Elephas maximus indicus: one gene and its partner. The protein of the gene in region 2 interacts with the protein of the main gene of each other region in a biochemical or structural test. Links are inferred from orthologs where the notes say so. Each region holds a gene or a part of one and is shown on either strand. Other genes may lie near its edges.

What was found.
Region 1: the proteins of SATB1 (region 2) and PIAS1 form a complex in vitro, tested with the Homo sapiens proteins (2 studies listed by BioGRID, with this or other methods). The link is inferred for Elephas maximus indicus from reciprocal best matches to the Homo sapiens genes SATB1 and PIAS1.

What each region holds. Positions count from the first base shown.
Region 1 is NC_064831.1:58,148,661-58,161,047, reverse strand, and holds the start of PIAS1 (E3 SUMO-protein ligase PIAS1), read right to left. Parts: upstream 5,776-12,387; 5' UTR 5,731-5,775; coding exon 5,707-5,730; intron 50-5,706; exon of another isoform or gene 1-49. UniProt on the Homo sapiens protein: Functions as an E3-type small ubiquitin-like modifier (SUMO) ligase, stabilizing the interaction between UBE2I and the substrate, and as a SUMO-tethering factor. Catalyzes sumoylation of various proteins, such as CEBPB, MRE11, MTA1, PTK2 and PML.
Region 2 is NC_064845.1:21,470,331-21,482,349, forward strand, and holds the start of SATB1 (DNA-binding protein SATB1), read left to right. Parts: upstream 1-6,816; 5' UTR 6,817-7,037; intron 7,038-7,046; exon of another isoform or gene 7,047-7,316; 5' UTR 7,317-7,405; intron 7,406-12,019. UniProt on the Homo sapiens protein: Crucial silencing factor contributing to the initiation of X inactivation mediated by Xist RNA that occurs during embryogenesis and in lymphoma.

The DNA of each region.
Region 1 (12,387 bases), on a different chromosome or scaffold from region 2:
CAGTTGAATACCTTGAAATTTCTCCATTCCCTATTTCAAAAATCTTAATAAAATACGTTACATAATTAGGTAAGGACCAAATTCTAACAAATCAAATTTAGAGTACGATCAATTTCATATCCTTAATTTCATCAATAGTTCCTTCTACAGTACAGTACTTTTCAGGTGTTACACCAACATTTGGTATCCTTAACTTAATACACATATGTATTAATTAGTTTAACGCATAAATTTACTTCTTAAAACAGAAAGGTATTTTTATTGCCTATGTAACCTTCTCTACAATCAGCTTCTCCAAAAAATGTTACCTACAAATTTAATACTACAGCAACACTTTGCTGAGGCTAAATGCATAAAGCATAAAGCAAATTCTCATTTCTACTTTCTCAGTGTAGCTTTTTAGGAGCCCTGGTGGCACAGTGGTTAAGAACTCGGCTGCTAACCCAAAGGTCGGCAGCTCGAATCCACCAGCCACTCCTTGGGAGCCCTATGGGGCAGCTCTACTCTGTCCTACAGGGTCACTATGAGTCGGAATTGACTTGACAGCAACAGGTTTTTTCCACTTTATAGCTTTTTAATGTCATTTAAAAACTGATGAACATCTAAATATGGCACATAAACTTGCAATATTTAATGATTATAATTTCCAAAATCAAACATACTTGAAATAAGTTATACATGCTATTTCATAATCCATTTCATACTCCATCAAATGTTCTAATTCAGAAGTAATATTTGCTTACATTTTATAAAATCTATCTCTGCCATCATTTAATAATCCTATACGACACATTTATAGAAACAAATAATAAAGGTATAAACAATGAACAAAGCAAGAACTAACTTAATTCACTCACAGCACTTCATCTAATCAACATATCATTTGCACTGATCCCTAAAGCAAGAAGAAGGTCTGTCATATCAATTTATTTAATTAAAATAAAACATCTGCAAACTTTTACATAAGGATGTTTGTCAAGGCACTGTTTAAAATGGACAGGGACTAGTTGAATAAAATACAATGTAATCTTTAAAATGATAACACAGACCTATACTTACTGACCTGCGAAGATAGCTATGAAAATAGCAGATTACAAAAAGTGTAGAGTGTGATCTCCTTTTGTGATGAATAACCATACACTCACAGAGAAAATGACTAAATGGATATATACCCAGATGATACTTCTGGGTGCTGGGATTACAGGTGTTGCTTATTTTTCTGCTTACTTTTCAGTATTCTCTGAAATTTTCCCACGCAAAACAACATCTGCAAGAAGTAATGCCTATGATTTCAACTAACAAACTCCAAAATCTTCCTTGCAAAAAACCCAAGGAATATCCAAACATACCCTGACATAAAGCAAAAGGGAAAGTATTAGCAACAACATAACTGGAATTCTTCATGAACAAGGCACCCTGTAGAGGCAGGGCTTCGAACTGGTTTGTTCCAGGTTGACCCCCTGCTGAGAATTTGCCTTTCCATCCCAGATATACTCAATCAGAATCCACATTCTCCAGGTGATTCTTATGGTACATCTACATTTTTAACAAGATCCCCAGGTGATTCTTATGTACATAGCTGCTTTTTTAAGGGGGGAGAAGAATCACCTGGGGGCTTGTTAAACTGTAGAACCTGATTCAGTATATCTGGGAGTGGAAATCCAAATCCTCACCAGCATGTTCGAAGCCCTGCTTAGAGGGTTCCAGGACTGCCATGGCACCTTTAAAGCAGCCTGCACCCCAAGGTTTTGAAATCAGAACACCTAGGTTCAAGTCTCTACCACTTTTATTTGTATGACTTTGCGCTTGTCACTAACCTCTTCAGGGCTCACTTTATACATAAAAGGGAGGTATCATCTGCCTTGCCTACCTCAAAGAACTGCTGGAGAGATCACATGAGATAATTCATACAAACTGCAAAGTACTATATGAAGTAACGGACTAGGTTCTCTTTGTTTTTGAAGGCTATATCTCATCATAAGCATCTAGTTTTCTCAGGACTTAGATACTTCTTCCCAGTTCCCACTACAAATACAAGCTATTTTATTTTCTTATCCCTAGTTACCAGCAAGAAAAAGTACAATTACACTGGACTCAAAAGTCTCAGCAAGAACCCTGGAGCAGCAGGTTGATGGAATCCAAGTTTAATCAGCTATGGACTAACCACTAAGCACTACTGCAATCAACAGGGATTACGAGTCACTCTTGGAAGAAAAAGACAATACAACCACCAAGGAGAAAATGGGGGTAGAAAAGATGGCAGTATTTCAAAACAATTATATGAAATACTTAAAAACTAAAGAATTTTAAAAATTGTTTTCAAATAATGTTCTTAACACCGGTGACATAAAACAAAAGTCATCTAAATGTGGCACTTGACAGCAGCAAGTTACAGAGGTTCAAATCAAATCCATGAATTCTCAGATTTATTTGCTTCTATCTGAGACAAAGGCTGACAAACTACACCACGAAGGTCAAAATTAAGTGGCTACTTCTTGAAAATAAAACAGGCAGAATTCAACAGGATTTACTGATACTCTTACCAATACTTTAAAAAGTGGTTTCTCTTCCCACTCAACTACTTCTTTCCCACTGTTACAATGACAATATAATTGTTTTTGCATTTTAATGCAAAAAAATACTATTAAAAAAAAAAGCACACTTTAAGAAGAGCTACACTTAACTGTCAGATTATTAATACCAAGATCATCAGGCCATTTCATCCTTCTACTTTTAAGTTCCTAAAGATAATAAAATGCTCACCCTCTACATTCTTAAGAATGTCACTTATGGGTATCCTCTAATGAAAAATTCAACCTTCCATAACTGTGCACAGAGAACTCATTTTGATATGTATGACTCACAATCTAATTTTTATTGGCAATATCTTGAAGTGCTAAAGCTTGAACTATTCCTACAAGGGATATGGATCTATCGATTTTGGCCATCTGATCTTTAGAGTTTTATTATAGATTTGAAAGGACTCACTAAAAATGGGACATGAGGAGAATAATTACGAATACAATCCACAGCCAAATGAAATGTGGGTTGTGAACTAATACAGAAAAAGTCACTATATTAACTCAAAGCCTCATAGTTGGAAATTTATTGGGAGTGCTGTATTTTCACTTAAAACTTTGAAAAATCTCATTTTTAAAAAATTATTCTTACTTTTCCTACTTTATTACAACAGTTACTTACCTCCAAAAACCACAAACGAAAACCCTCAGAAAATTTCTAAAACAAGTATCTTCCAAAACTCACCGCACAGAAACATACAGACATTCTCAAACAACCCTAACATAGGTGTTCCTGAGATTATGCCCCACCTCCAGGGAAAAACAAAACAAAACCAGCAAATCTAACCACAATCAAGTTTTAACAAAAACGGTAACACTGTTATCACCAGCTAAGCAATTTATCACAGCTCTTCAAAGTATGGGGCACACAATGACAGACCAGTATGTCAAAACAGTTATTATAATTTGAAAATTTATACAACAGGAACATGAAAGTAAAAAATAACTCCTCCAGAAAAACTGAAGTACATTTTGGAGAGAGGCAAAAAAGGAGACCAATACTAGAAAAATAACGTTTCCCCCAAGTGTTCAGCTCTGATACTGGCTGTTTTTTGTAAAGAGAAACTTTAACAAAACTCACGCCAGGGATCTGATCTATCCCCAAAGGCACTTTCTTAAAATGAGAAAGAACAAAGGAGAAATCTCCCAGCATGTGCTTCCCATACCAGTTTCTTTGGACAGCATCAAGAGTGACAATATAGCCAGAACAAGCTTTTCGGCTTTACTCTGTGGTCCGTGTATAACAGAACTCATTAGCTTTCATCTAAAAGGATTCCTAACAAAATGAATATCAGAAGGCAAAGATCACAGCAACATATTGACCGCATTTTTAGAGAGTAAAACCATAGAAAACACGTATCTTAAAGTTGTGTACTTTTACTCTCTTTAAATATCTCCAAGCATCCCAATTCCAAGGTTTCCTCACTTCAGTCAACAGTTTGAAGCTGGGGAAAACGAAACCAACCGTTCTAAATCTGCTCTTCCTGAAGTAAATTGGAATTAGAAGCAAATTAAAAGAGTGACACTAAAGCCAACACCTTACAAATCTTGCAATGTTAACATTGCAAAGTTACTGGAGAAAAACGATCTTCCAGGGAGGTTTTTTCCACAAAAAACTCTCCAGAAAGAAACCTGGTATCTGGATGTTCTAGAAGTTCTCGTGTCATTATAACGGAGAATTTTTTTTGAATAATTTTTATTAATTAAAAAGAGACTCTCCCCGCAAAGAATTACAATTGTTTATCCCAAGCTCCACTCTGACAGAGATGTCAGTTCTCTGGGTCAGGATATAATCGGCTGCTTGGTTCACACACAGGAAGCCACAGAGATGGGAATATAACGTTCAGAGCTTCAAAATAATACGCGTTAGTTAAAAACGGCTTGCTACTAAACCAAAATTATTCAAGCGGAGCCCCATTTGTCACAATCCAATCATAAGGGTTCCACCCCCTCCCCCAACTGCTTGTGTAGTGGTGTATCTGCTTCGGTAAAGAAGCCATCGTCAGGTAAAGAAGATTGGGGTGGGAGAAAAAAGCGGGGAGAGGGGGGCACCCTTTCATCTCATTTCGCGAGCCGTGAGTAATTGGTACAGTTGAGAGGAACGGAGGAACGTTCTATTTATTGGGGGTTGCTGGAGGATGAGGGCAGAATTTCGTTCAAATCAACATGGCCAACAAGATGTCCCTACAAACAAAAGGCAACGGGGGGATATAAACACGAACCATTCACCTCCGGCAGCTATAGCATCGCCATCATGGTGTGTGCAGAGACCCCCAAAGGCTCCGTTCACCCTCCACACCAGCCAGAGAAGGAAAAGAAGGGAGAAGAGGTAGCTGCATCCCACCACCCAACACTGCATCCAAACACACACCCTTCGAGGGGGTTTCTCCCGCCGGTTGCCCGGAATCAGAGAGAAAGAGTAACGTCCCGCCCAGCCAGACTCCCGCCGCTGCCCCACGGCCGAACCCCAACGCCGGCCCGGGGCTCACTAAACTTTACCGGAGCTTCTCCCCCACATTCCCACCCCATCACCCCAGGATCGCGCGTCCCCCAAGCGGGGCGCCCGGGCGCCTCCTGACAGGCGGGCAGCCGGAGAGAGCCGAGTCCAGGGTGGGGGTGGCAGAGAGCCACGGAGGGGCGGGGCGGCCGGAGCCAAGTTCCCGGGGGTCTGAGGAGAGCGCCTGACAGGAGCCCGGGACTGCAAAGGAGGAAGAGGAAGCGGCGGCGGGGAGCTTTCCCAATCCCCCCTACACGGACACCCAGCCCCCAGCCACAGCTCCCCATGGGGGGCGGGGAGGCAGGCAGGAGGTGAGGGCGCGGAGCCCCAGAGGCAGCCGCAGTCCCTGCCTCCCGACTCCCGATCTCTTCCCCCGCCACCCCCGCCAGAGGCGCCCACAACAATAACACGCCGGGGACAACCCGTCAGCGCCCCCGAGGCACCCGGGGCCCGCGGCCCGCCGCTACTGAGCCCCCTCTGCCGGGGCCCGGCGCGCCGCTCTTCCCTACAACTCCAGGCCCGGGTGGAGTCAGGCCGGAGCGGCCCCCCAGGGTCGGACCCATCCCCCCCGGCACCAGCGGCGCCGTCTCCGCGGCCGAATATTAGAAGTGAATTCGAGCTGCGCTTTACCTTTAGTTCCGCACCGTCCGCCATCTTGCGTCTGTCAGCGCAAGCGCAGTGAACCTCGCCGGGGGCCGCTCCTAGACCCTCCCCTCTAGGCGGCCTGGCCCCGCCCCGGCCCGCCCCCCCTCGCCCCTCCACCTTCCCGGCCCGCCCCCGGAATCCGCCCCGCTCCGGGCGCTCGGAGCCCCGCCCCCGGCACGTACAGCTGCCAGACAGGCACGTACTATTTAAATAATGGCGCCAAGCGGGGAGGTTTGACAGTTACTCCCCCGTCGGCCTCCCCGCCCCCCATCGTCGCCTGGTTAGCGCCTCCGGGGAAAGGCCCGGGAGAGCGGGCTGCTGGCCTGAGCCCCGCCCCTCTGCGGTCCGCGGAACCCTCTGCAAAGCTTCCATACCTACAGCCACGGAACAGCAATGCCCCCCTGTCCCAATCAGAAAGTCTTTTTGAGCACCTGCTGCCTCCGAAGCTCCAAAAAAAAATAAAGCTCCATGTGGGCTAAAAATAACAATCCGTTACATTTGAGCAGCACTCGATGAAGCATTTCCAGGTTTATTAGCTCAAATCCTCCTCATGACAATGCGGTACAGTAGGCAAGGGAAGAGATTATCATTTCCATGGTAAATATTCAGAAATGGAAGCTCAGAGAGGAAAAGTGGCTTGCCCCAACAGGTACTTGACAGAAATGCCCTAAACAAAACTCTGAAGGTGTTCCTCACTTAACTTCTTGGTTTCAACAAGCTTTTATTTAGTGACTGTGTACTGGCCCTGTGTTAAACGTTACATATACTTTGGGAAATTAAACAAAACAAAGTCCCTGCCCTCCTGTAGCTCTCTGACTAATGGGGGAACAGACAAGTGAACCAATAGAGATGGAATTACAGATTGTGGTGAGTGCTGGAAAGCAGCAGATGGTTTAGCTAGAGAGAAAAAGGGATTGGAAGGAGTTGTATTTAATCTTGACAGGGCTTTCTCTACTGAGGTGACATTTAAGTAGAGACTTGACGAAAGGATTATTCTATACCTTTCTCTACTAAAAACTCCTATACTTCTTCCCCATCTGCCACTTTTTGCTGATCGACTTTGTCTCATACCTCATGCAAAAAAAAAAAAAAAAGATATCTTTTCACCATCAAAACTACTCTTACCTGCATACTAGTAATATTTGAATCATTATGAATGAATTGTCCCTGAACCTCTGAAGCTCAGTCCTTAGCCAGTAACCTGGATTCCTTTCCGCTCCACATTCCTAAGGATTTTACTCCTACAATTACCTCCCCCTTCTGCATTTTTGGAGCCCTGATGGCTTAGTGGTTAAGCATTCAGCTGCTAACAAAAAGGTCGCAGTTCAAATTCACCAGCTGCTCCTTGGAAACCCTATGGGGCAGTTCTACTCTGTGCTACAGGGTTGCTAGGAGTGGGAATCAACTGGAAGGCAATGGGTTTGATTTTTTTGGTTTCTGCATCATGACTTTTTTCCCTTTCTATTGGATTACGTCTATCAGCATATCAACATACTGAAATTTCTGCCAAAAAAAAAAATTTTTTTTTTTTAAGGTAAGCCTCCCTTGACTCAAAAATTGCCTCCAGCAACCACCCTATTGCTCTGCTCTATTCACTGCATAAATTCCCAGAGGAGTTTTCCCAGATCTCTCTACTGTGCCTATTCCACAGCTTCAAACAGTTTGTACCAGTCCAATCCTCTGTGGAGAATTTGAATTTCCACCCCAGATGTACTGAATCAGAATCTACATTTTAACAAGATCCCCCAGGTGATTTCTATGTATACATTTACATTTTAATAAAAAATTAAAAAAAAATTTTTTTTATAGGCTCTCTTAAAATGTAGATTCTGATTCATTATCTCTGGGGATATAAAGGCAAATTTTTGGCAGGGAATAGAACTGGAATGAACCGGTTCAAAGCCCTGGCCTACTCCCACTTCCTCACCTCACTTTTTCTTTTCTACCTACCCAGATCTGGCTTTGGCATTCCTCATCATGATCATTTATCAAGATTACTAATGATCTCTATCTTCCCAAAACCAATAGCCAATTTCCATTTTTATCTAAATTGACCTTTCATCAGAATTGCAAAGAGTTGACTCACTTCCTTTATCTTGAAACACTTTTCCCTCTGGACTTCTCTCAACATGACACTGTTCTGATTCTCCTGTCCCCTCCACAGACCTCCTTTTCAGTACCTTTTGCTGATTTCTCCTGTAATGCTCAACCTTTAAATGTTGGAGTGCTCCAGGGCTCAGTTCCTGGCCCACTTCTCTATTATACTTTCACCAGAAGATCTCATCCAATTCCTTGACTTTAAACCTATATGTTGATAACTTTCAAATTTCTCTCCAGCCCAGTCCGCTCCACCAAAACCCAGGTTCACAAATCCAGCTGGCTACTTAATATCTCTACTTCATGTCTTCTTGTCATCTCAACTCATTATGGTCAAAGACCGCTCTTGATTTCCACTCGCAATCCTGATTTTCTGGTGGTATTCTCAGTGGATGGCACCACTACCCACCTAGTTGTTCAAGCCAAAAATCTAGATGTCATCCTGAAACAGCACTTTCATTCACCTCCCACACCCAATCCGTCAGCCAGGCTCTCTGACTCTTCCTCCAAAACATATACCAAGCCAGTCCTTTTCCTGCATCTTCATTCCCATCAGCCTCCTCTTGAGTTTCTACTCTTATAGTCTCGTGCCTAGGCTGCTGCAAAACCCTCTCAATTTATAGGGCCACAATGTGACTTTAATAGCCCAGGGCCACTAAAAGTATTGGGGTCCCCATACCACACACAAAAATTAACTCAGAATGGATCATAGACTTAAACATAAGAGATGTTGTTGTTGTTGTTGTTTTTAGGTGTTGTCAAGTTGGTTCCGACTCATAGCGACCCTATGCACAACAGAACGAAACACTGCCTGGTCCTGAGCCATCCTTACCATCGTTATGCTTGAGCTCATTGTTGCAGCTACTGTGTCAATCCACCTTGTAGAGGGTCTTCCTCTTTTCCGCTGAACCTGTACTCTGCCAAGCATGATGTCCTTCTCCAGGGACTGAACCCTCCTGACAACATGTCCAAAGTATGTAAGACGCAGTCTTGCTCTCCTTGCTTCTAAGGAACATTCTGGTTCTACTTCTAAGACAAATTTGGTGTTTCTTTTGGCAGTCCATGGTATATTCAATATTCTTCCCCAACACCACAATTCAAAGTCCTCAATTCTTCTTCAGTCTTCCTTATTCATTGTCCAGCTTTCATATGCATATGATGCGATTGAAAATACCATGGCTTGGGTCAGGCACACCTTAGTCTTCAAGGTGACATCTTTGCTCTTCAACACTTTAAAGAGGTCCTTTGCAGCAGATTTACCCAATGCAACACGTCTTCTGATTTCTTGACTGCTGCTTCTATGGCTGTTGATTGTGGATCCAAGTAAAATGAAATCCCTGACAACTTCGATTTTTTCTCCGTTTATCGCGATGTTGCTCTTTGGTCCAGTTGTGAGGATTTTTGTTTTCTTTATGTTGAGGTGCAATCCATACTGAAGGCTGTGGTCTTGGATCTTCGTTAGTAAGTGCTTCAAGTCCTCTTCACCTTCAACAAGCAAGGTTGTGTCATCTGCACAACACAGGTTGTTAATGAGTCTTCCTCCAATCCTGATGCCCCGTTCTTCTTCATATAGTCCAGCTTCTCGGATTATTTGCTGAGCATACAGATTGAATAGGTATGGTGAAAGAATATAACCCTGACGCACACCTTTCCTGACTTTAAACCAATCAGAATCCCCTTGTTCTGTCCAAACAACTGCCTCTTGATCTATGTAAAGATTCCTCATAAGCACAATTAAGTGTTCTGGAATTCCCATCCTTGGCAATGTTATCCATAATTTGTTATGATCCACACAGTCGAATGCCTTTGCATAGTCAATAAAACACAGGTAAACATCCTTCTGGTATTCTCTGCTTACAGCCAGGACGCATCTGACATTAGCAATGATATCCCTGGTTCCACATCCTCTTCTGAAACTGGCCTGAATTTCTGGCAGTTCTCTCTCAGTATACTGCTGCAGCTGTTTTTGAAGGCTCCAGGAATTGATGGAATATCGATTGAGATGTTTTGACAAACAGATGCAGCACTGGAGGTGCTCACTCTTCTATGCAAAGAAATATGGAAGACAGCTTCCTGGCCACCTGACTGGAAGAGATCCATATTTATGCCTATTCCCAAGAAAGGTGATCCAACCGAATGTGGAAATTATAGAACAATATCATTAATATCACACGCAAGCAAAATTTATCTGAAGATCATTCAAAAACATAAGAGATAAAACTATAAAACTCTTAGAAGAAAATATAGGAGTAAATCTCTTTGACCTTGGGTTAGGCATAGCCTTTTAGATATGGATTAAACAGACCCTGTTGGAGGAAATGTATAGACATTGTATAGCCACTCTGGAAAATTGGTAGTTCCTTAGAAAACTAAACTCAGCAGTTGAACCATTGGATATTTATTCCAGAGAAATGAATACTTATCTTCCTACAGGAAGTTTCTACACAAATGTTTGTAGCAAATTTTGAGATGTAGAATCACCCTACTTACAAAAAGCAGTTTGGCCTTAGTTCTCAGTTCTTTCCAGCTGGAACGACACCTGAGGCTAATGAGTGGGGGCTGACCAGCTCAAGAGAGACCACCTGGGGCTCAGTAGCTCAGTACTAAGTTTCAGGAGTCCTGATGTAATCTATCATGGCCATGTGGTGAGGCTAATAAGAGCCCTAAGCCTTGAGGCTAAGATAGAGCTACGTGGTTGGTGACCATGCATGGGAGAAGGTAGTACATCTCTCTTTGGGACTCTCCCAAACCTTACCCATGTATTTCTTCATTTGTGCTTTTTGTTTATAATAAACCTGTAGTCATAAGTATGGTGTACTGTCCATGAATTCTGTGAGTAATTCCAGCAAATTAATGAACCCACAGGGGCAGTGAGAGCCAGCAGGGGCTGGCGTCTGTCTATTTGACAGTCTGAAAGAAGGTGTCCTTCTAATGTGTGAGCTCCGACCTAGCTTTGAGTGGTTATGGCTGAAAGACAGTGTCCATCTAACTTGTGAGCTCTGACCCAGTTCTGGGAGACTCGGGCTGACTCAGCAATAAAAAAGAACAAACTATTGATACACACAAATTGGATAAACCACAAAAAAATTATGCTGAGAGAAAAAAAGGATACATAATGCCTGATTCCATTTATGCAACATTCATGAAACGAAATAATTATGGAGTTGGAGAATGGATTAGTGGTTGCCAGGGATTAGGGCAAAGAATATTGAGTATACCATGGACTGCCAGAAGAAAAAACAAAGCTGTCTTGGAAGAAGTACAGCCAGAATGCTCCTTAGAAGGGTGGGTGGCAAGACTTCATCCCACACACTTTGGACATATTATCAGAGGGACCAATCCCTGGAGAAGGACATCATGCCTGGTAAAGTAGAAGGTCAGCAAAAGAGAAGACGGTTAAAGAGATGAATTGACACGGTGGCTACAACAATGGGCTCAAACATAGCAACAATTGTAAGAATGGTACAGGACTGGGCAGTATTTCGTCTGTTGTATGCAGGGTTGCTATGAGTTGGAACCAACTCCAAGCACCTATCAACAAGAACAACAGGCATTAGGAATGGGGGAAGGGATGGGTGTGGTTGTAAAAGTAACAGGAGGAAGTCTTGTGATAGTACAGAGGAATATCTTGATTGTTGTGGTGGTTACACAAAGATCTCAAGCAAAATATTAGCAAATTCAATCCAGCAATATACAAAAGCATAATGCAACATGACTGAGAGGAATTTATTCCCAGAGCATAAAAGGTTGCTTAACATATGAAAACTAATCAATTTAATTTCATCACATTAACAGAGAAAAATCATATGATCATGTTGACAAACGCAGAAAAAGGACTTAACAAAAATGTAGCACCTGTTCATGATATTAAATTTTAGAAAACTATTGATAGTAGGGAACTTCTTTAATATGATTGTAAGTATCTACGAAAAAAATGCTACAGAAAACATTAGTGTTAAAGGTATAATATTAAAAACATTCCCTTTTTTAATCTAAAAGTTCCCTTTTTAACTCTTAGGAAGCTATTAGTAGACGGGAACTTCTTTAATATGATTATAAGTAACTACAGAAAACACTAGAGTTAATGGTAAAATATTGAAAACATTTCCTTTGATAACAGGAACGAAGTAAGGATGCCCACTATTCTCATCCCTGTTTATAATGGGCTGAAATCTTAGCCAGTATTAGAAGAAAAATCTTAGCCAGTATTATCAGGACTGGAAAGAAAGAAATAAAGCCATCATTCACTGGGAACATGATTTTGTATGGAGAAAATCTAAAAGAATTCTCAGAAAAACTAGTTATTAGAATTAAATAAATTTATCAAATTCACTGGATACAAGCTCAGCTAACAAAAATCAACTATATTTCTACATATCAACAATAAACAAAAAACATAATTCAGAAAAAGATAGCAATTACATATTAAAATAACAACAAAAATCTTCAAATAAATCTAACTACAACAACAAAAGGCCTTTACACTGAAAACTACTAAATTTTTGACAAAATTAAAGAAGACCTAAATAGGAGGATTATATCCTGTGCATGAATTGGGAATACTCAGTA
Region 2 (12,019 bases):
ACAGTCGCCACCACTCCTTATGGTTTTAACTTTGTCTACTTTGCTCACTTATACTCAACGCCTGCCCCGAGGTAGACATGTTTATAAACCCTGATATACAGTATAAAGACCAAACTCCAGGCCTTATGTGCAAAGTCCTTCACAACTTGGCACTGTTTGGCTTCATTCTTCACAAAGACCCTATATTCCAGCCACACCGAATTCCTTATATTTCCCTAAACACCAAGCTGTGTCACCCTCAGTGCTTTTGCCCATGCTGGTCTCCCTCTGTGGAACATCTTCCCCCCATCTACCTTCTCTGCCTAGAGGGTCCTCATTCATCCTTCAAGCCTTAGTTCAAGAGTCAATTTCCTCTCTGGAGCTTTCCTAAATTCTTCCAAAGAGCTATTCGCTTCTCCCCAATATTCCCATAGCATTTGGTGCCTCTATTAGCATTGTCGCGAATTTTTGTGTCTGTCTGCCCAATCAGAAATGTGTTTCTTCGTGAAAAGGACCTTTAGTCATCTCCAAGTCCCCAGTCCTTAACAGAGTGCCTAGCACCTAGTAGGTACACAATGACTATTGAATGAATGAATATATGAATGAATGAATAAATAATTCCAAGAGGATTTTTTGCATTGCAAGATTATACAAAGCATTTGACATTCGAAATAAGGGAAGTGACTACTCAAGATCACATTTCAAGTTTTGATAATGATCATGACATCTTCAGATACAGCTGTTAAAAGTTTCTGTTCATCGCACCCTTTCCAGGAAAACAAGGCTTGAGAAAATAAAATGTATAAAATATTACTAAATATAACAAAGTAACTTATAATGGATAGGGCATGACACTTGGGGGTGAGGAAAGTGAGTCAGTACTTCATTCAAAGAAAGGAGATGGTGAAAGAAGTCACCATGTCTCTCTATAAGCTGGTGGCAACTCTGGCAGTATTTACCCTGAAGAAGGGATGACTTGGGGCCCATGGTGGCAGGAAGGGATTGTTTAGCTGGCGAGCTATCATGTGGTTATGAGGACAGTTGTCCTTAGAGCTGTGCACCACAGATCTTTACTTTTGGGCCCAAGGTAGGCTGCACTATCTGGCCCCCTTGTGGTGGCTCCATGGAGACATGCAACTAGTCTTGGTCATATAGGTGTGAGCCCAAATGATTTGTGTTACTTCTGGCCCACAGCATGTAAATGCCAGCATAAGACCCTCCAAAATGATCTTTCTTTTTGCCATTTATTGTTGTTGTTGTTAGTTGCCATTGAGTCAATTCTGACTCATGGTGACCTCACACGTGTAGAGTTAGAACTGCTCCATAGGGTTTTCAAGGCTGTGACCTTTTGGGAAGCAGGTCGCCAGGCCTGTCTTCCGAGGTGCCTCTGGGTGGACTTGAATCACCAGCCTTTTGGTTAGTAGCCAAGTGCCTAACCATTGGTACCACCCAGGGATTTCTTTGCTGTAATAGGCCTTCAGTGCAATGGGTTTCTCTTATATATGGTTTTCTCTTACATATGGCCTTTCTGGCCTTGTGTTTGTAATTCTGCCAGAATGATTGGCTAGGCCAAAATCTAGCAAGTGATTGGTCAGAATACTATGTAAATATGATGTGGAAAACCACATAATAGGATTAAGTGACCTTGTGGGAACTGGCCAATTAACATGTAAATTGAGCGACTGTCGTCTTCTGAGGGGATTGGTCAGTTCGTAGTCCTGGTGGGAGGGCATGCCTTGAAATTGACAAGGAGTTTGCTTACATAAAGGCCAACCCCACAAAGAATCAGGGGGGATCTCACTCCCATCAAGAAGAGCCTGGAGCAGGGCTCCTTTGGACCCAAGGTCCCTGCACTGAGAACCTCCCAGACCTAGGAGACAGAGAGAGTTGTAACACTGAAGACAGTGTGAGATGGCAAGAAATGGTGGTAACCACAGCAGAGGCCAGGACCAAAGAAACGGTGGCAGCAGTACCAGCAGTGAGAATCACGGGACTGGCAGATGGCTGCAGTGGTGCCTGTCAGCCCACAGAGTGAAGGTGCTGTGGTGGACTTGCCAGCCCACAGAACAAGAGAGAGCTGAGTGCCTTTAGGCAGGAGGCGTGCTTGCAGAGTGGGGTGACTCTGAGCATTTGCTGGCAGGGATAAAGAACTATTAACACTTGCTCGAGCAGGGCAGAGGCCTAGAGAGGGCCTGTAGGATGGTGTGGCTGAGAGAAGGACTATTAACTGGCATGGCCAGAGAAGGGCCTGCCTGTGGGCATGGCCAAGAAGGAGCTGAGAACTGTCCTGGTTGGAAGCTGTCCTGATTGACGAACTATATCCTGTCTCCTGAGTTGTATCCTGTTACTTCTAAACTGATCCTGATCCTGAGTCATAGCCTGTTACTTCCCTGATAAACCGCCTCATTTTGAGTATGGTCTGTGAGTTGTGTGTGGCCACTGCAATGAATTATCAAACCCAGCAAAGAATTAGAGAGTGCTGGGTGGGGAGATTGGCTGGTGTCAGAAATGGTGAAAATGTCTGACCTCTGCCTCATGGGAATCAGCTTTGGTCTGATCCTGATTCTCCTGAATGTAGACAGCCTCAGATGCTGCTAGATCACAAGGCCACTAAAAACTGGAATTGTTTGTTTTTCCAGTATAAGATAGCTTGTCCTGACTGATACAACAGATTTGCTCTGCTTTGCTGTAAATGGCAGAACTAAAGCTAATGGTTAGAAGTTTCAGGAAGACCAAAAAAAAAAAAAAAAAACCAAAACCAAACCCAGTGCCGTCGAGTCGATTCTGACTTATAGCGACCCTATAGGACAGAGTAGAACTGCCCCATAGAGCTTCCAAGGAGCACCTGGCGGATTTGAACTGCCAACCCTTTGGTTAGCAGCCGTAGCACTTAACCACTACGCCACCAGGGCCTCCTCAGGAAGACCAATTCTGTGTAATACAAGGAAAGAAAATCTAATAAAGCATAAAAAGATGGAACTACTTCAGAAATTATTCATTCATCCACACAATATATATGGAACTCTACTCTGTGCCAAGAGCTCTGTAGGTAAAACCCTTACCCTCATGGAGGCAAGTGGTGCGTTCCCAGTCACTCAGGACCAGGACGTGTGCACTGGATGGCCCCTCAGGGTTCGACAGCAAAACCAGCCTTTAAAATACCTCCCAACCTGGAGATTCCAGGAACTCTACCTCCTCTGTTTTAAAAACAAAAAAATAAAATCAATTTTCTCAAGTATTACTTTGATTCAAACTATTTACTGATTCACTGGGCTGTCTTTTTGACATTTTAATGTCATTTTCCCAGCAAATAAGTTCCTTGAGGGCCAATACTGTTTTGTTCCTCCTTGCATCTTTCTCATACTATATAGTAGGTTATATTTTGTCTGTTCTCAGAGGAAAACAACCAGTGTAGATTCTGACATCCCCACTGCCAATGAGTCAATTCCGACTCATAGTGACTCTAAAGGCCAGAAAAGAACAGCTCCATAGGATTTCCAAGGCTCTACGTCTTCAGGGAAACAGACTGCCACATCTTTCTCCCACGGAGTGGCTGGTGGGTTCGAACTTCTGAACTTTTGGTTAGCAGTGGAGTACTTTTACTATTGCGTCACTAGTGCTCCCTCTTTTGATATTGTTGCTGTCAAGTCAATTCTGACTCACAGCGACCCTGTAGGACAGAGTAGAACCACTGCTTAGGGTTTCCAAGGAGCAACTGGGGGATTCAAACCACCAACCTTTTGGTTAGCAGTCTGAGCTCTTAACTACTTGGCCACCAGGGCTACCTTTTGACGTTCACTACTGTTATTAACCACGTGACAGGTTTCAGATTTATTTGCCCTTCAATTATTTAAGTTAGATCTGAACTTGTTAAAAAAAAAAAAATTTAGAAGCACAAATGTCATACCCTAGTAACTTTCACACTGAATGCTCTTTTCTTCAGAAGGAAGGCTTAGCCCTGTACTAGTGAATTTGAGCTGAATTACATTATTTCATTACCCTCTTAATTCAGCAAGTATGTAATGAATTCCTACTACATGCCAGGGGTAAGGCACATACATTGTAAGAGTTTATCAAGATATATTATTTAATGTACTGTGGTCAGCATTACAAAATTCCATCTTATACTAAGCCTATGAACTCTCCGTACTAAGCTCTTTAGAAGAAAATAAAAGCAAGTTCAAAAGGTTTGGGGCAAAATGTTCCCTTGGTTCAACTCCTGGGTACATCTTGTACCTTAACTTATGTGGGCTCAGCTGATAACTTGGGGAAGTAGATGAATATATCAGTGTGTAAGAGACAAAAAAAAAAAAAACCCTTTTTTTTTTGTATTTCAGTATCTTTTAAGTTTCATTTCTGGCTTTTGGAATTGGAGAATCAGTTGTCTGTGACAAAAAAATTGCTAATAAGCAGTAATTAAGGACTGAGAATTTATTATTTCCATACCCAAACTGATGTCATTCTCAAATGGGAATATTGGTACTGGTTAGACAATTCAGCATTCTGGTAAATTAAGGCAGAAGGACTTGGTGACTCCTGGGATGTGTGAAGGCAGATAGTGGTCCAGGGAGGAAAATATGTGTTTTACTTCGCTTTGTCCATTGCAACATTCATACCCTTCTGCTTTACAGAAGTAGGAGTTGAGGTTGCCAATCATATCTTACAAAAGAGGGGGGCCAGTTGTCTAAAGAAACACACTCTAATTCATAAAACTTTTTATGTTTTTATGTCTTTGGAATTGTCTCTGCATAAAAAGATAATCAGCTGAAAAAGACAGATGAATTCCAGTGAATTCAATACCCATTGACAGAAAAGAACTGGCATATCAGAAAGCAGCAGGAATACATGCGCTGCTCTCCTTTATTTAGAAAAACCACACAAAAATACAACACAGTGGATGTGTGTGTTACCCAGGCTTGAAAGTTGAATCAACCGCTGTGTAAAAGATAAAATAAGACTGCACAGATATCAGGATTTTCCCAGCGTGCTTTATGACAGAAGAGGACCTAACAGAGCTTTTAGGAAAAACTGAATTCTCAGCCCACAGTCACTTTCCAGGAACTTCACTGCAAACAGTGCTCTGCGCTGGCAGGATGGAGATTTTAGCACTCTCCCTCCTGCTTCCCTAGATTCCTTCTCTCTAAATACAATTATTTATGGGGACTTAACAAGGGAGCAAGCCTTGTGTGAAAGGAACTCAAGAAAGTGCAGCTTCTAAAAATACATGGAGGCAGCTCCACAGTCCTTATTGTTTTGCAGTTCATGCCATGAACCTCACAACTGCACTTCTTGCCCCACACACACACACACACACACACGCACAAAGAGAAGGCTATGTTTTTTCTTTCCACAATCCTCCTAACCATGAGTAAACAGTAGTAATTTTCTGTTGTCATACTCAAGGCAAATTTCCCAAAGACAACACAAAACAAAAACAAAAGACCTGTTAAGCTTCCTTAGAGCTGGGGGGTGGAATGACAGGAAAGAAGGGGGTAAAGTTGATGGAGGTCCAGTTTCTTGTTAGCCAGGAGTCCTGAGCCTACAGTCACCCCAGATCTTGCAGAGAAGGTTTTTGAGGTTTCAGTCCCCATTTGCTAAGGTGTCCTTGCCCCTCTCCTCTCCCGAGTCCCCTGTCTATGACATCCTCTTTGCCCCTGCTTTTTGAGGGAAATTGAACCTCAGCTTAGGCGTCCCTTTCCAGTGGGTTGAAAAGAAGTACAGCGGCTGATGGAAGGATGAATATTGAAATAAATAGGCTGGGGCATGGCGTAGGGGTTTACAAAACACCCCTCTCCTCCATTCATCACGTGTTCCTCAGCTGGGGTGCAGTGCTACGGGTAAAGGGCCCGGGAGGGGCGAGAGTGGGGTGAAGGGACTCGGACATAGCAAGACTGTAAGGGAACGAGGCCCTCTAGGAAAGATCGTCTCGATCGAACACTGACGAGAGAAATAAATTGGCCCACATGTCCCTACTGGGGAGCGATACACCCCGCTCCGGATGGGTTTGGGGGTGCATCAAGGCCTCTCACCTGACTTCCTCCTCCGCTGGCACACACACTACAGTCACCCCCTCACTCCCCTCCAAAAAGCTCAAGCCAACAACGAACAACAAGAGGAAGCCGCAGGCGGCAGGAGGAGGGGTGCGAGCGGTGGGGGCCTGGAGAGGTGAGGGGGGCAGGGTTGGCGGGCCTGGAGACCCGCGCCGCGCACTCCCAAGCACACCCCCAAGCGCCCACACTTACCCCTCGTGGCCGAGGGTCCGGTCTTCGGCGCCAACCCCGCCGCGCGCCCCCTCGCCCGCCCTCGCCCCTCCAGCCCGCCGCCCCCCACACCCCGGCCGGCGCGCGGGGAGAGAGCCCAAGAGCGGCACACGGCTGCAGCGGCTCGGGCTCGGCTCGGCTCGGGCTCCAGCGCAGCCAGTGTGGCCGGCGGCCGCCGAGGCTCCACCGCCAGGGGGAGAAGCCGGGGCGGGCGCTGGGGAGGCGGGCCGGGCCCTCGCCGCCCCGCCGGCCAGCCCGCGCCGCACACGCTCCGAGGCGGCGGCGGAGGCGGCGGCGGCGGCGCGGGGTCCGCCGAGCCTCCGGGCGCAGCGTGCCGGGGCCGAGGCGCCGCGGCTGGATGCGCGCCCCGGGTGGCTGCGGGCTCCCGCGGGGGGCGCCCCGGCCGCTCCGGTGCGCTCCAGACTGCGGGCGCGGCGACCGCCGAGCGGAGAGCAGCTCCCGCCGGCCCCTTCCCCCTCCCGCCCCCGCCGCCGCCCCCTCCCCCTCCCGCGTTAACATCTCCTCCCTCCCCCTGCTCTTCCTTCCCTCGGCCCCGCGCGCTCGCTCGCTCGCTCCTCGCTTCTCTCTCCCCTTTAAACGCCCACTTCGGATGGGGAAAGAAGACAACTTGAAGTCAAGTTGCAATTAACTTCCGCGGCAGCCGCAGCTCCAGCGGCGGCGGCAGAAGGCAGAAGCCGCCGCCTCGGAAGTCCGACGCCGGCGCGCCCGCCCAGGGAGCCGTTCTGGGTCTCGGGCCCGCACTCGACAGCCACCGCCGTCCCCAACGCCCATGCCTGAGTGAGTTCTGCTCCTTTGCCTCCTTTCTCCCCCGCCCTCCTTCTTTTTTGCTCTTTCTCTTGCTCTTTTATCTCCCACTGTCTCTCTTTTTCGGAATCAATCCAAACTTCTCGGTGGCACCCACCCATGGTGCCCCTTGCTGGGGCGACTCGGCTCCCCTCTTGTGGGCGCCAGGCGGCAGGGGTCTTTCGCGCAGTCAGATCCCAAAGTGGTGGGCCAGTGGAGTGAGGGCGAGCCACCGGGATGGGGGACTTGAAGATACCATTCGTTCTCTCTTAGGGTGTGGACACACTAACACACCTGCCCGACAGACCCGGGCTGCACAAGCCCCTCCAGGACCTCGGTATGGCCTCTTTTGAAAGAGAAAAGTGAGTCGAAAAGACTGCAGGAAGTAAATGGGGAGAAAGGGGAGCCTCTCTGTGCGGCCCCCGGGCCCGGCAGGCAGAAAGGCGCGCGGCTGAGTGGGCTGGGGGAGTGGAAACGCTCCCCGGTCGGATCGCCGGTCGGCTCAGCATCCTTCCCCAGTCCATCTCCGCCTTCCTCCGCCCCCCATCGGCGTGGCTGCTCGAGTGCGGGGCGGAAAGGGGCCTGGGAAGTTTGTGGCAACTTCTCCATCCCGGGAGCCACTCCGGCACCGGGGCGCTCAAGTTTGAGCCGGGAGTTTGCAAGCCGCGGCACTGCGCCTTCGAGCCCTAGTCGGCTGTGGCGAGGTCGGTGCTGGAGGGACTGCCGGCAGGAATGTGGCTTCCAAGTGGGGCTGGAGGCAGGAAGGAGGTGCTTCCTCCTAGCGGGAGCTGGGGTACCTCAGGTACGGCCTCCGGGCCCGCACCGTGTCCCCCTCCTGCGGTCGGGGACCCAAGCGCGGCGGCCTTCTCCGAGCGCACCATTGCTGAAGTTCCCAGGGCGGCGGAGCGTGGGGGTTTGGAAGACTACCGTGGAAGGGACGAAACAGGCAGGTGGCAGGTCCGGGGAGTGACACGCGCGTCCCGGGGAAACGCATTCAGTAAGACACCTTGGGGATGACCCCAGGAAACTGAGAGGAGAAGGACGCAGGGCTCTTTCTCTTAGTTTTGGCTCCGGCCTCCCCCAGAGCGTTGCACATTTCACTTACAAGTGTCAACCCCAGGGTCGCCCTCAGAGTGCCCTGGTTGGCGACTTTGACCCCTGCGCCTTTCCTCCATGAACTTTCTCAGCGGCGTTCCAGACTTCCAGGCAAATGTGACTTGTACTCCATATGGTTGTGAAAGAGACAAGGGAATACCCAAAGATGCCCTATCCGGGAGAGAGTCTCTCTGCCTGGACTAATTGGGGTTCTGCGCCTGCATCCTGGGAGGCCAAGGGGACCTGACTTTCCCAAGAGGACAGAGAAAGGGGGTAAGAATGAGTAAAACACAGCCGCCCAGTGTCAGGTTTTGTCCTGAGCAGTCCCTGGAATTCACAATGTGTTTTGCTGCTGATGGAGTAACTCATCCCATTGAAACTTTATTGAAATTTACACCCTCGATAACGTGGATTTTTCTGAGATGTCAGGAATGTGGAATTCCTTCTGTACAGTCAAATGTAGCTGCACAAAACCAAAGCGTACTTTAAGACTGGAGAAAACCAAGGTTGAGGGGTTTGCTCTCAAAACCTTTAATCTGCTGTTTGGTGCTCGTGCAGCAGTCCTTTATTTCTATTGCATATTATTTTAGCAGAACGGTAGTACATTCATATACTGGCTGCTCCAGTCTGCTGGCAAACATTAGCATTCAAGCTTACATTTTTGACAAATGTGCAGACAGGAATAGCATGAATAGGCATCTTAAATATTAACAACCTAAGCATCTGTTGTGCAACAAATTTAATATATTTACTCTGTTTTTCTCACATTGTTAGAAAAGGTTATAATAAGTGCATAATTTCAACTTTAGTTAGCAGAAGTAACTGGCTGTATCTTTCACTACCTCTCCAAGTATTTAACACAATCACCAGACATAAATACTTTAATTAACTTGGTTAGGCATATTATTAAATACACTTTAGGCAGCGTGCATGCCACATAAAACAAAACACTGGCAAAATATGTGTCCTGTTTGTGCACATTTTAAACGGCTGTGCGTTTTATAAACATACCAAACATGTCTATTCCTCATCTCCATTTGACACTTTATTACTTCATATTTTTTCTAATGGAAACAGTATTTTAAATGTAGAGCTGTTCAGTCCTATGTAATACGTAATAAGTAAACAGTAGCTATAAAATACAAAGCATTGTTGAATTTGAATACGGCTAGATGTAACAAGATTATACAAGAGAAATAAAATCGCGGTTCAATTTTGTGTTCCTTTCTGAATAATGAATACAAATGGTGAATGAAAAGGAACAAATAGGGATTTCCTTCCTAAAGTACTGGTTCCTTAAAATGGAGTGGGTGGGGGGGGGGGGGGATAGAGAGAGAAGACCTAAAAAGACTTCCAAAAGTCTGAATAGTTATTTACAGAATCAATGCATTCCTCATTTTCCCACAAGCTGAAATATGTAATAAATAATAGTTCTTTGTATGTAAAAGTATTTAAAAGGAATGCCTTTTGTGCAGTTGTTTTAATAAATTAATATATTCTTTGGTTGATAAATCTACAAAAGTAGCTCTTTTGTCTCCCGGGATCTTAAACACGAGCAGCAACAAAATGAATATTGGTTTATTTCTTCTGCAAAGGAGTCTGTTGCCAGCTCTGTGAACCTGATTGGATAAGATATGAAAATGCTGAGTGATGGTTGAAGCCTGCATTAACTTAGCTAAGACTTAAAAGATCAGGAGAAGGTTTTCAATGATCTTTTTTTTCATGTGGCAGGTTGTGGATTGTAAATTAGGCCTAAAAGGTCAGGTGACAGGCACCTGTTCCCCATTATTGTAAAAATCTCTTGGTTACAAACACTATCAAGCTAAACACAACACGGATATACAGCAGGGACTCTGTAAAGCACTCTAGTGGTTTTTCATCTGCTCTGTAAATTTCCGAGGGCCACGCATAGATGTGCCCTTTACGTAAGACATCGTTTCTTCCACACATGTTGTCTTGGATGACTAATTTATGTTACATTAGTACTTGGGATTGATGAAGTACATAAAATAAATGCATATGACTGAATCAGTCTTCAGACTGTCTAGACATGTTGTAGTTAAATGCAAAATATTCTTTTCACACCCCACTCTTTTCCTGTACGATCGATTAGTTATCAATTTTTTTGTTCATGTTTTAAATAGAAGTCTCCCCAAATTGTCTTTCAGACTTTTTAGATAAGGTGGGTTCCCCTTTTAAATGATGCCATGAAATATTTTGCTCAGTATTTGTGTATAAGGAGAAAATTAGTTGCTATAAACCATCATAGCTTTGTAGCATATATAAAATGGGGGGGGGACACATTTTTCAAGAATGCTGTTAGGAAGGGTATCATCATTTGACCTTCAAACTTGCCGCTTCTCTCAGAAGAGTTCAGTAATATTCCTATTGGAATGAAGTGTGATGTGAGTTTTATGACTGGTTTACCGTGAGATATTTCAGAGAGCAGAACATACAAACATATTGAACAGACCTAAATAGCACAAGGTTGCAAAATATTAAAGGTTCTCTATGCTTTTAATTAGCAAATGAGGATTTTGAGTAAATGAAATAACTCAGATTATTGAATTCTATGTTATTTAAATCTGCTCTTTGTCTTTTTGGTTTGGTATAGCTTATGCTGATTATATTAAGTATTCATTTTTAGCTTTTGTGATCAGATTACAGGAGAGTCATTCCTCTTGCTTATCAAATTGATTTAGGTTGCGAACTCCAAAACTCTTGAGTTGATTTTTACAAATTGGTTTACATTTTGACAAGAGTTAAGTTAATTAGTAGATCAAGCATGAAAAACCATCCATGGTAGAGTATATTTTCTGGTAAAATGAAAGTTATGTTTCAGCATGATGAGCATCAGGCTTCAGTAATCTGTTCCTCTTGTGGAATGAACACTTCCTACTTCAAACTAGCAGGCACCTACTGTTTATTTACGCTGCATTAAACTGACAGCTCAGCAATCAGAGGAAAAATATTACTTACCTTCCTGAAGTAAATACCAGTTTATAGGTTAGTGCACGTATTTATATTCCTGTCACCACTAAATAACGGCTCTGTCTCCATTTTAATATCTACCTGTGCTGTAATCCAGGACTTCAGACTCTTCCTGGTTGGGGCTAGAGGTAGGGAGGAGTTTTTTTCATTTCCCAGTGGCAAAACTTTAAAGAGAAGTAATTTCATCTCATTTCTGTCATGTAAGAACCAGTTGAAAGAAATGGTACGCACTTTTACTTTGCATACCTCAACTATAACATCAATATCCAAAAAGAGTTTGCGTGCCCCTTCTAATAGTCATCCTGGAGCAACCTCAGGACAAATACCTTCAAACACATTCAAGTGTGTGTTTGCTAAATTAACTTTCTGTAACATTCCAAATCGATGACTGAAACGATGTCATTTCTTAGATAATAACTTTGAGAAAGTGTCTTCCCTTCCAAATCTTAGATAAAATGCTTCAGTTTTTGATGGAGATCTGCAAATATGAGTACAAAGTGGGGCTTATTGATTGCTTGATTGATACCGTTGCTTTCCCCTGAGAATATTCTTACCACTCTTACATGTTAATTTGCCAACCTTAAGAGAAAGGAGATTTCTGCTTTCTTATAATATTAAATGTATGTGTTGTTCTGTATTTTAATTACAAGACTGTTCTCTGGTAAGACCCCTTGAAACTTCAAAATATGTTTTAAGGTGAATTCTAAAACCCATAACTAACTTTTGAGAAAATGCTTGTTATCGCTTACATTCTCTAAGTAGCTCTTACGCTCATGGTCTACACACAGTTGTCAATTGCTAATCATATATTCCATTGACATCAGAGCAGAACGTGGTCTTAATACAGCATATAAATCAAATCTGTTGTACAAGGTTCTTCTCCTTCGCTA